Linked DNA regions of Canis lupus familiaris. The protein of the gene in region 2 binds, or shares a complex with, the protein of the main gene of each other region. Links are inferred from orthologs where the notes say so. Each region holds a gene or a part of one and is shown on either strand. Other genes may lie near its edges. The genes, in order: KCNE3 and KCNQ1.

Region 1 (4,264 bases), on a different chromosome or scaffold from region 2:
AACGTATCTTTTAAAAAAATAAGTCTTCCTTATTTCTCATACTCTGATCAGCCCTGTAGTCCCTTTTCATTTAACGGTACCATTTGGTAGTCCTGGGGTTGATGGAGAACATACCAGAGCTGGAATCAAGAGACATGCCCCTATTTGGCCATGTCTAGACATGTGTCTTGGTTAAGTCATGTTTCCACTCTAGGCTTCATATTCCCCATCAGTAAGATGGGAGTTTTGTCTTACCTCCTAGTAGGTATTTGGAACATCCATGCATTTAGTTTATGGATAGAAATGTGTTTTGAGATGTGTGGACTTAGTGAGGGATGAAGAAGGTTGTTGGCTATCATAAGGAGTCAAGAAAATCTGAAAGCAGTTCCCATGCCTCAAGCAGGGGTCTCCTCCATTTGGAACCAGCAAAGAGGATGGATCTCAGGAGATAATGAAGAGCTTACACATTTACCACGCATCTTTGTAGGTAAAATGGAGATACCCCTGGACTCGAAGTGAGGAGACTTGGGCTCTGCTTCTCCTGGTATGTCCCTGGGCAAGCTATGCCCCCCCCCCGGGCCTCAGTTTCCCCACACACAAATTGGTGAAGAGTGGGGAGGAGGGATAGGAGGAGATGCTCTTCACGGACCCTCACACAAGGGTCTGTCTGAACTCATCTGCTTTCTAAATAAAAGAATCCCAAGTCCAGACCTTGTTCCTCTCATGTCACATGGAGTGTACAGGCAACTGGACTAAGAGGCTCATTTTATAGGTAGTGACCCAGGCAAAGAAAGTACAAGGCGTACAGTAGGAGACTTGCACGGGTTTACACAATCTGTAAAATAGAACCCGGTCTCCTGACTCCTAGCCTACACCTCTGTTACTAGCAGGAGAAGGCGTCTTTGGGAGTCCCCAGGCGCGGGGCACAATGCAATAGCGAATGGGCAAGTCGGCTCCGGCTCCGCAGAGCAAGCAGCTCCCGCCAAACAAGAAGACCGCGCAGGGTCCGAAGGCCATTTCTGCGCGTGCATTCGCTGCGGCCCCGCGGGTGTTCGCATGCATACCTGTGGACGTGGAAAGAGCTTTCAAGCCTCCCTCCTGAAGCCTCTGAGTGCCGGTGCAAACCCCCGTGGCTTTCAGGCTGGAACTGCCAGGCTCCCAGCTCTGCACTCCCACGCGGGGCCCTGGGATCCCTGCACCTCAGTTCTGTGAGCCGTCCCCCACCTCCGGTCGGGGTTCTCAACGGAGTCGGGTAGACCCCTAACTTCCATCCCCCGCTGCAGCGCAGCCTTCCCGACCCTGCCAGTGCGCCTTACCTGCCTCTTGGCAAGACTCCGAGGGGCGCCGGTCTCTAGATAGTACCCCGCACTCTGTGCCCCTGGGTGCCCCCCGCACAGCAACCCTCCGCGCTGGGTCTGCCTGTCTGCACAGTCTGCGTCCCGACCTGCCCTCTGCTCCCTTTAACCTTTCCCAGGGCGCCTCCTCCCCCGGCCCCGCCCGGCCCCCAGCACACCCACTTCTCCCCAGGCTGGTTTCGGGCGCCTCCGCCCAGAGCTACTTGGCCCCACACGGCCGGCCGGCCGGCTGTGGGCTCCGACCCTTCCGTCCCCTGCAGCGCCTGCTTCCTGGACCGGAGACCGAGTGCCTCTCACTTGGCTTCAGCTCGCCCAGCCTCAGGCTGATCTAAACGCAAGGCTGAGCGTTGGGTGTTGGTGGAATTAGGCTTTGCTCCTAAGTGGCTGTGTGGTGGTTGGCAAATCACTGCTCCTCACTGGGCCATAGCTTCTTCGCTGTAAAATGGGTAAAATTCGTGCTTCGCACGGCGTTGGTTTGGGTTAGTTGAGATCGTAGAATGCAAACATTAAAGCCGATGGTCACTGGAGAAATCACCTGATTCTAACACAAGCCATCTTTTCCAGACAGAATGCAGGGGCCCAGTTTGGGGAAGAACTTGCCCAGGCTCCCAACAGCACAGTGGCGGGGTTCAGACTCAGAATTCACTATGCCACTTTTCTCTTCTTCACCCCAGCTAATGTCTCCTCCTTCTAAGTCTCAACACTCTTCACATGCCCTGAAAACTGTTGTCCAGCATACCTCACTGGTCCTGGCCCCAGAACACTCTGCACTTTCTGGCCACCAGGCCCTCCCTCACACTATTGCTTTCTTGCTGGTGACACTACAGGCTCTAGAAAGACAAACAGCCAGGGAAAGCTGGGAAGTCAGGGCGGTTCTATAGGCAGAGGAGTGGACAAGTGGCAGGGAAAGCCCCTGAGGGACTCTGTGGGAGTCCTTATCAGAGCCCTTTTTAACAACCTCCTACTTTGGCATAATTATTAATAAACTGAGGCCAGCTCTCATTCCCTTGCAAACAAAGATGTGTTCCAGAATATCTGAAGCACGTACCCTTATCATAGAATCTCAGATTATATGTAAGAAGTGCTATCATTTTAAAAAGACCCACTGCATGGACAGAATGCCATACAAAATTGCTATTCTTTATCAAAGCACGTTACTTCCCTGTTATTTCTGTGGTTACATATTTTGACCCACTTACACCTTTTGCTCAATCACCTCTCAAGGAAGAAGTCATCCTGACCCTGGGCATGAAGTATCAAATTTCAGTCTGCCTAAGAATCACCTCAGAGCTCATTCTGGTAAAGTAGACTTTTGGGTCCCTCTCCAGAGGTTCTGATCCAAGAGACCTGGAATGAAGCTCAGAAATTTAACATTTAAAAAAAAGTTTCCCTGGCAGCCCGGGTGGCTCAGCGGTTTAGCGCCGCCTTTGGCCCAGGATATGATCCTGGAGACCTGGGATGGGGTCCCACGTTGGGCTCCCTACATGGAGCCTGCTTCTCCCTCTGCCTGTGTCTCTGCCTCTCTCTCTCTCTCTGTGTCTCTCATGAATAAATAGATAAAATCTTAAAAAAAATAAAAAAGTTTCCCACCTGATTCTGATGCCAGTGGTTCTTAAGATCAGCCCTGAGGAACCAGCCCAGGCTAAGGTATGGCTCCTTCTTCCATTCTACCCAGAGCCTTGAATTTACCGTATAGGACTATTTACTATAGTTATCAAAAGTAACTATTTGCCCACTTCATCTACTAGATTGTGAGTTCTTTGAAGATAGAGATTTAGAATCATAGTCTTAGAATCACACCGTCTTAGAGTTCTAGAGTCTTTTAGTGATAGAATCTAAGTTGGAAGGACTCTTAAAATTATCTGATCAAATCCCTTACCTAAAAATCCCCTATATTTGATTTTTAACATGAGACTGTCCAGCTTCTCCTGTATACCTTGAGTGACAAGGAGTTATTGCTTCCAAGGCAGCCAAGGTTGTTGTTGTTGTTGTTGTTGTTGTTGTTGTTGTTGTTGTTCTTCTTCTTCTTCTTCTTCTTCTTCTTCCTCTTCTTCTTCTTCCTCTTCTTCTTCTTCTTTCTTCTTCTTCTTCTTCTTCTTCTTCTTCTTCTTCTTCTTCTTCTTCTTCTTCTTCTTCTTCTTGTATATGTTTTTATTGGAGTTCGATTTGCCAACATATAGCTTAACACCCAGTGCTCATACCGTCAAGTGCCCCCCTCAGTGCCTGTCACCCAGTCACCCCATCCCCCTGCCCGCCTCCCCTTCCACCACTCCTTGTTCATTTCCCAGAGTTAGGAGTTTCTCATGTTGTCACTCTCACTGAGATTTCCCACTCATTTTCTCTCCTTTCCCCTATAATCCCTTTCATTATTTTTTATATTCCCCAAATTAATGAGATCATATAATGTTTGTCCTCCAATTGACTTACTTCACTCAGCATAATAGCCTCCAGTTCCATCCATGTTGAAGCAAATGGTGGGTATTTGTCTTTTCTAATGGCTGAGTAAAATTCCATTGTATATATAGACCACATCTTCTTATCCATTCATCCTTTGATGGCAGCCAAGGTTCTGATTGTTAGGATGTTTTCATGTTTTAACAAAAATTGCCTCCTTGTTACTTCTACCCTTTGGTCCTTGTGCCCACTGGAGATATAAAGTATGTGCCTAATTTTTTTGTTCCCGTTTTTTGGTTCTTCAGAGACTTAAGACCTGTCTTCCACTTCCCTTTCTCTGGAGTGAGGATGGAGCAAGAACTCTGTTAGGGAAGCTAACTGGCTAAGGGGTTCTTAGAAAGTGGACTGAGCTGCCTCATTTTCTTTATCTGTGATTTGCGGGTTTGCTACAAGGCTTAGATGACCCAATGTGTGTAATAGGCCTAGGTTGGGCCCAGCATAATGCATGTCCTTCATAAATGACAGCTCTTATTATT
Region 2 (3,805 bases):
GGCACGGTCGCAGGCAGACAGGGAGGGCCGTGGCGTGGTGATGCTGCCGGGGGCCCCGTGGGGGGCTCAGCACAGGCGCTGCCCGGGAGCTCAGGCTGAGGGGCGGGCGGACAGGTAAACGTCCAAGAGTGCACCAGGGCACGTGCTGACAAGGGCCGCAGAGCGACGGCATGTGGGGGGGGGGCAGCAGGGGCTGGTGAAGACCCCTCTGAGGAGGTGACTGGGAGGAGGTGGAGGGGTCTGGGAGGGAACAGAGAGTGCAGGGGCTTTGGGGGCAGCTGGCACCCGGGAGAGCTGGGCACCCCCAAGCGGGAGTGGGCACCACCCTCATTCAGCATGCCACCCGAAGCCTGTCCGAATCCCCTGCACACCAACCTCAAGACCCTCTTCCCCGAGCTGGGATGCCACCTCTGACCTGACAGACACCCACTGTGCCCAGCCTGACACCAGGGCCCTCTCCAGAGCCTTCTCTCCCACCACTGGCCAGAGCCCAGCTCATCCTGCTCCTGGGGCTGCTCCTAGGGGCCTCGAGCCATGGGGACACTGGGGCTGCAAGGCCTGGCACAGATGCACCCCCGCCCCAGGGCCTGTAGTGGTGATGCCCCAATGTGGGCTCAGATGAAACCCTAGGTCAAACCCTGCCCAGGAGCCGTGGCCCCCGAAGCCTCCCCACCCACTAATCACTAATGGGGATCCCATCCACCTGCAGGTGCAGATGGGGGCCGTTACCATGACAGACTTCTTGGGCTTGGGGCTGGGAGAGAGCAGGGCATGGCTCCGGGCGGGCTTCCGGACGTAGATCTTCCAGGTGGAAGAGTCGGGGTTCTCGGCCGCGTAGCACCTCCACGCCGTCTGAACCAGCACAAGAGAGAGGCAGTCAGCTACCCGCTGGGCCTCCCGTGGGAGCTGCAGCTCCCCCATCCTGCCCACACCCCATCCTGCATGCCAGCCCCCCATCTCCTATGGCTGATCCTGCACCAGGCAGCCTCACGTGCTGGCTGGTACTCACAGCTCAGACATCACAGAGGCCCTCACCTGTGAGCACCGATGCACCTGCCAGCATCTCCCCAACCTGTCCCTCCCACAGATGCACAGACACCCATGGCTGCCTCTCCTTGGGGCTTGCACGGCGAGTGCAGGGATGGCCACAGAAACCAAGGGCGCCCCGGGCTGTGGGCACCAGGCAGGAGGGCCTGGGAAACAAGGCCCCTCCCAGAGGCCCAAATGTGGGCTCCCAGCACCGGACACCGTCCGTAGCCGTGGGGAGCCTCTTGATGTCATGCGGGTGCAGAAGGCCTTGGGCCTATGCTCTAGAGAGATGCCCCTGTGGCCACCACGCAGGGAGGAAGTGATGCCACAGCAGGGGATCCGAGGGGAGGACACGCCATGTCTGAGTGGGCAGTGGGGGACCGGTGGGGTGCCAGGAGCCTCAGATGAGGACGCATCCTAGTGGTGTGGCTGGCCACGGGGCTGGCAGGGCTCCCGGGGAGCCGTGACATCACCCACGATGGGGACCTGGGCAGGCCTGGCCACCTTCATGCCGTCCATGGGACAGGCCACAGGCCTGGCCCCTCCGAGGCTGACTCACCACGTCCACTTCCCACCTTCCCCAGCAGTGGGCATGTGTCCTGCCCACAAACGTATGGCCTGGCCACTACACGTCCCACACCCTGGGGCCCTGGTCCTCCTGTGGCGGGCACGTCTGCACTCCCATGAACATTCCACTCAGACCTGGTCTTTTGCAGGGGTGCTTGCCCCTAAGGCCCAAGGCTCAGCGAGGAACCCGCCACGCTCCCCTCCCACAACAGTCTGCCCACAGCGGCCTGGGCTGGTTTTACGGCCTGATTTATGGTCTCCCCGAAAGGAGAAGGCTGTGGGGCTGTAAAACCAGGCCTGAGGGGGCCCAGCCCCTCGGCTTTATGGCCCCTATTTCCTTCCCGTCCAGGTACACCGTCCAGGCCCCAGACAGTGGGTTCCGGAAGGGCTTCAGAGGGATGAGGGGAGCCCCTGGTTGAGCTGAGGCTCCCAGGTGGAGCAGCGCTTGATGGTGGCCACCCCTCATGGGGCCCTGCCTGGGGCAGAGGGCGCAGGAGACCAGGCCACAGGGGTGACCCAGGGGAGCATCCAGTGCTGGATACAGCTGCCCTGCTGGGCAGAGGGTCCCATATCCGCGGGTGGATGATGCTGAGCCCCAGGACCCTCTGGGACCCAGTTTGCAAATGGTTATCCGCCTGAGTCTTTGTGTGCATTAAAAGGCTCAGCGAGCCTCTGGTGTGTCCAGGAGCTTGGGTCAGAGAGCAGAGCGGAACATCCAGGAACTCAGGACCCCCCCCTTCCCCATTGCTCTTAGGCTTTGCTGCCACCAGCCCCCCAGGCTTGTCACAGCCTCCCTAGGGTCCCCATCAGGCACCAAGGGGCCCGTGAATCCAGACGGCAGCCATGCTATCGGCTCACCAGTCCTCACCTGCTGCCACCGGGGAGTCCTGAGCCCCGTGCAGTGCCAGGGACACTCAGAAGTGCCCATGCTGCATAAGCAGAGCCCTAGCCACCCTGGGACATGGCCACACAGGGACCCTTCCCCTTTGCCTCCCAGACCTGCTCCAGTGCAGAGCAGAGGGGTGGCCACAGGAGGAGAACGAGGAACAAGACGCCAAGGCTGGCCACTGTGGTTGAGAGGTGAGGGGCCCACAGAAAGACCACCCCACCCCGGGACTGGCCAGGGCACATCCTGGCCCCCTGGCCTGCTCAGATGTGACTTCCCACAGAACCCTCGAGGAAGGGATATGGGCGCCCCGCGCTCCAGTGCCCACCCTGTCAGACCACCTGCATGTCCCAGGAGAAGGCACGACGGGTGTGTACGTCTGTGTTGCCAAATCAGCTCATCTATGTTCCAGAAGGATCCGCACTGAGCTTCACGGCCAAGAGCAGTTCCCAGTTCTGGATCCCCAGAACGGACACTAGCTTGTGTTCACCCGCAGACGCGAGACTGGCCATCACAATGGCAGGTGCCGTCACCTGAATGAGCGAGGCTGCCGCCGGGATCTGCCTATTGAAGTGCTTCTGTCTCTGCTTCTGCTGGACCTTTAGGGCGAAGCCAGAGCCGAGAATCCCCTGGGGAGGAGCAGAGGCCAGGGTTCACGTCCACGCAGGCAGCCACTGCCTGGCCGGCCTGTGGGACACGGGAACTAGGGAGACAGTGCGGGTGTCGGGGAGACAGGGTGGGCAGAAGGTAGCCCTGTGGGAGGGTGTGCAGCTGCATCCCTGGATGGACAATGGGATGGACAGGACCCACTCGTCAGGGAGGGAGCTCCCCATCCACCTAGGGGATCAATCATACATGCACACACACATACTGTACAGCACGTGGGCAAACACTGTAGACACACAACCCAAATGCACATACTATACACACAGCACACACGAGAGGTGCACACGTACTGCATGAGTTTATATGTAGGTGACACATATACACACAGAACACGGACATGTGTCCACATGCAACACACAATACGTGGTGTGTGTATGTGACTCGTGCACATAGTAACACATCATACATATGCCCACGTGTGTCCATGAGGACACATGTAACACACACACACCTATGTGCACACACTGGGAATGGGGAGGTATAACCCTCACGGTGATTTCTGGGGAGGACCTGGCCTGGCCTGGCCAGGCCTCACCAGGCACACAGCCTCTGCCTCTGCCTTCATGCGGCAGCTGCTACTGGTGTCTCCCCGTGGCCCCTGGGGCTGAATATGCCGGCCTGCACCCCGCTGTCTGCTACCAAAGACCCCCCCACCAA

The links.
Region 1: the proteins of KCNQ1 (region 2) and KCNE3 are in contact, whole or in part, in a cryo-EM structure (PDB 6V01), measured with the Homo sapiens proteins. The link is inferred for Canis lupus familiaris from reciprocal best matches to the Homo sapiens genes KCNQ1 and KCNE3. Residues at the interface, in NP_000209.2 of Homo sapiens: Arg116, Pro117, Thr118, Gly119, Trp120, Cys122, Phe123, His126, Phe127, Phe130, Leu134, Leu137, Ile138, Val141, Leu142, Ile145, Gln147, Tyr148, Arg181, Met238, Val241, Asp242, Gln244, Thr247, Lys362, Asn365, Ile368; in NP_005463.1 of Homo sapiens: Asp54, Asp55, Asn56, Ser57, Tyr58, Ile61, Met65, Phe68, Ala69, Val72, Gly73, Leu75, Ile76, Leu77, Tyr79, Thr80, Arg81, Ser82, Arg83, Val85, Lys87, Asp90.

What each region holds. Positions count from the first base shown.
Region 1 is NC_049242.1:23,974,326-23,978,589, reverse strand, and holds the start of KCNE3 (potassium voltage-gated channel subfamily E member 3), read right to left. Parts: upstream 3,104-4,264; 5' UTR 2,925-3,103; intron 1,793-2,924; 5' UTR 1,497-1,792; intron 1,452-1,496; exon of another isoform or gene 1,296-1,451; intron 1-1,295. UniProt on the Homo sapiens protein: Ancillary protein that functions as a regulatory subunit of the voltage-gated potassium (Kv) channel complex composed of pore-forming and potassium-conducting alpha subunits and of regulatory beta subunits.
Region 2 is NC_049239.1:47,055,882-47,059,686, reverse strand, and holds part of KCNQ1 (potassium voltage-gated channel subfamily KQT member 1), read right to left. Parts: intron 3,112-3,805; coding exon 3,016-3,111; intron 853-3,015; coding exon 730-852; intron 1-729. UniProt on the Homo sapiens protein: Pore-forming subunit of the voltage-gated potassium (Kv) channel involved in the regulation of cardiomyocyte excitability and important in normal development and functions of myocardium, inner ear, stomach and colon.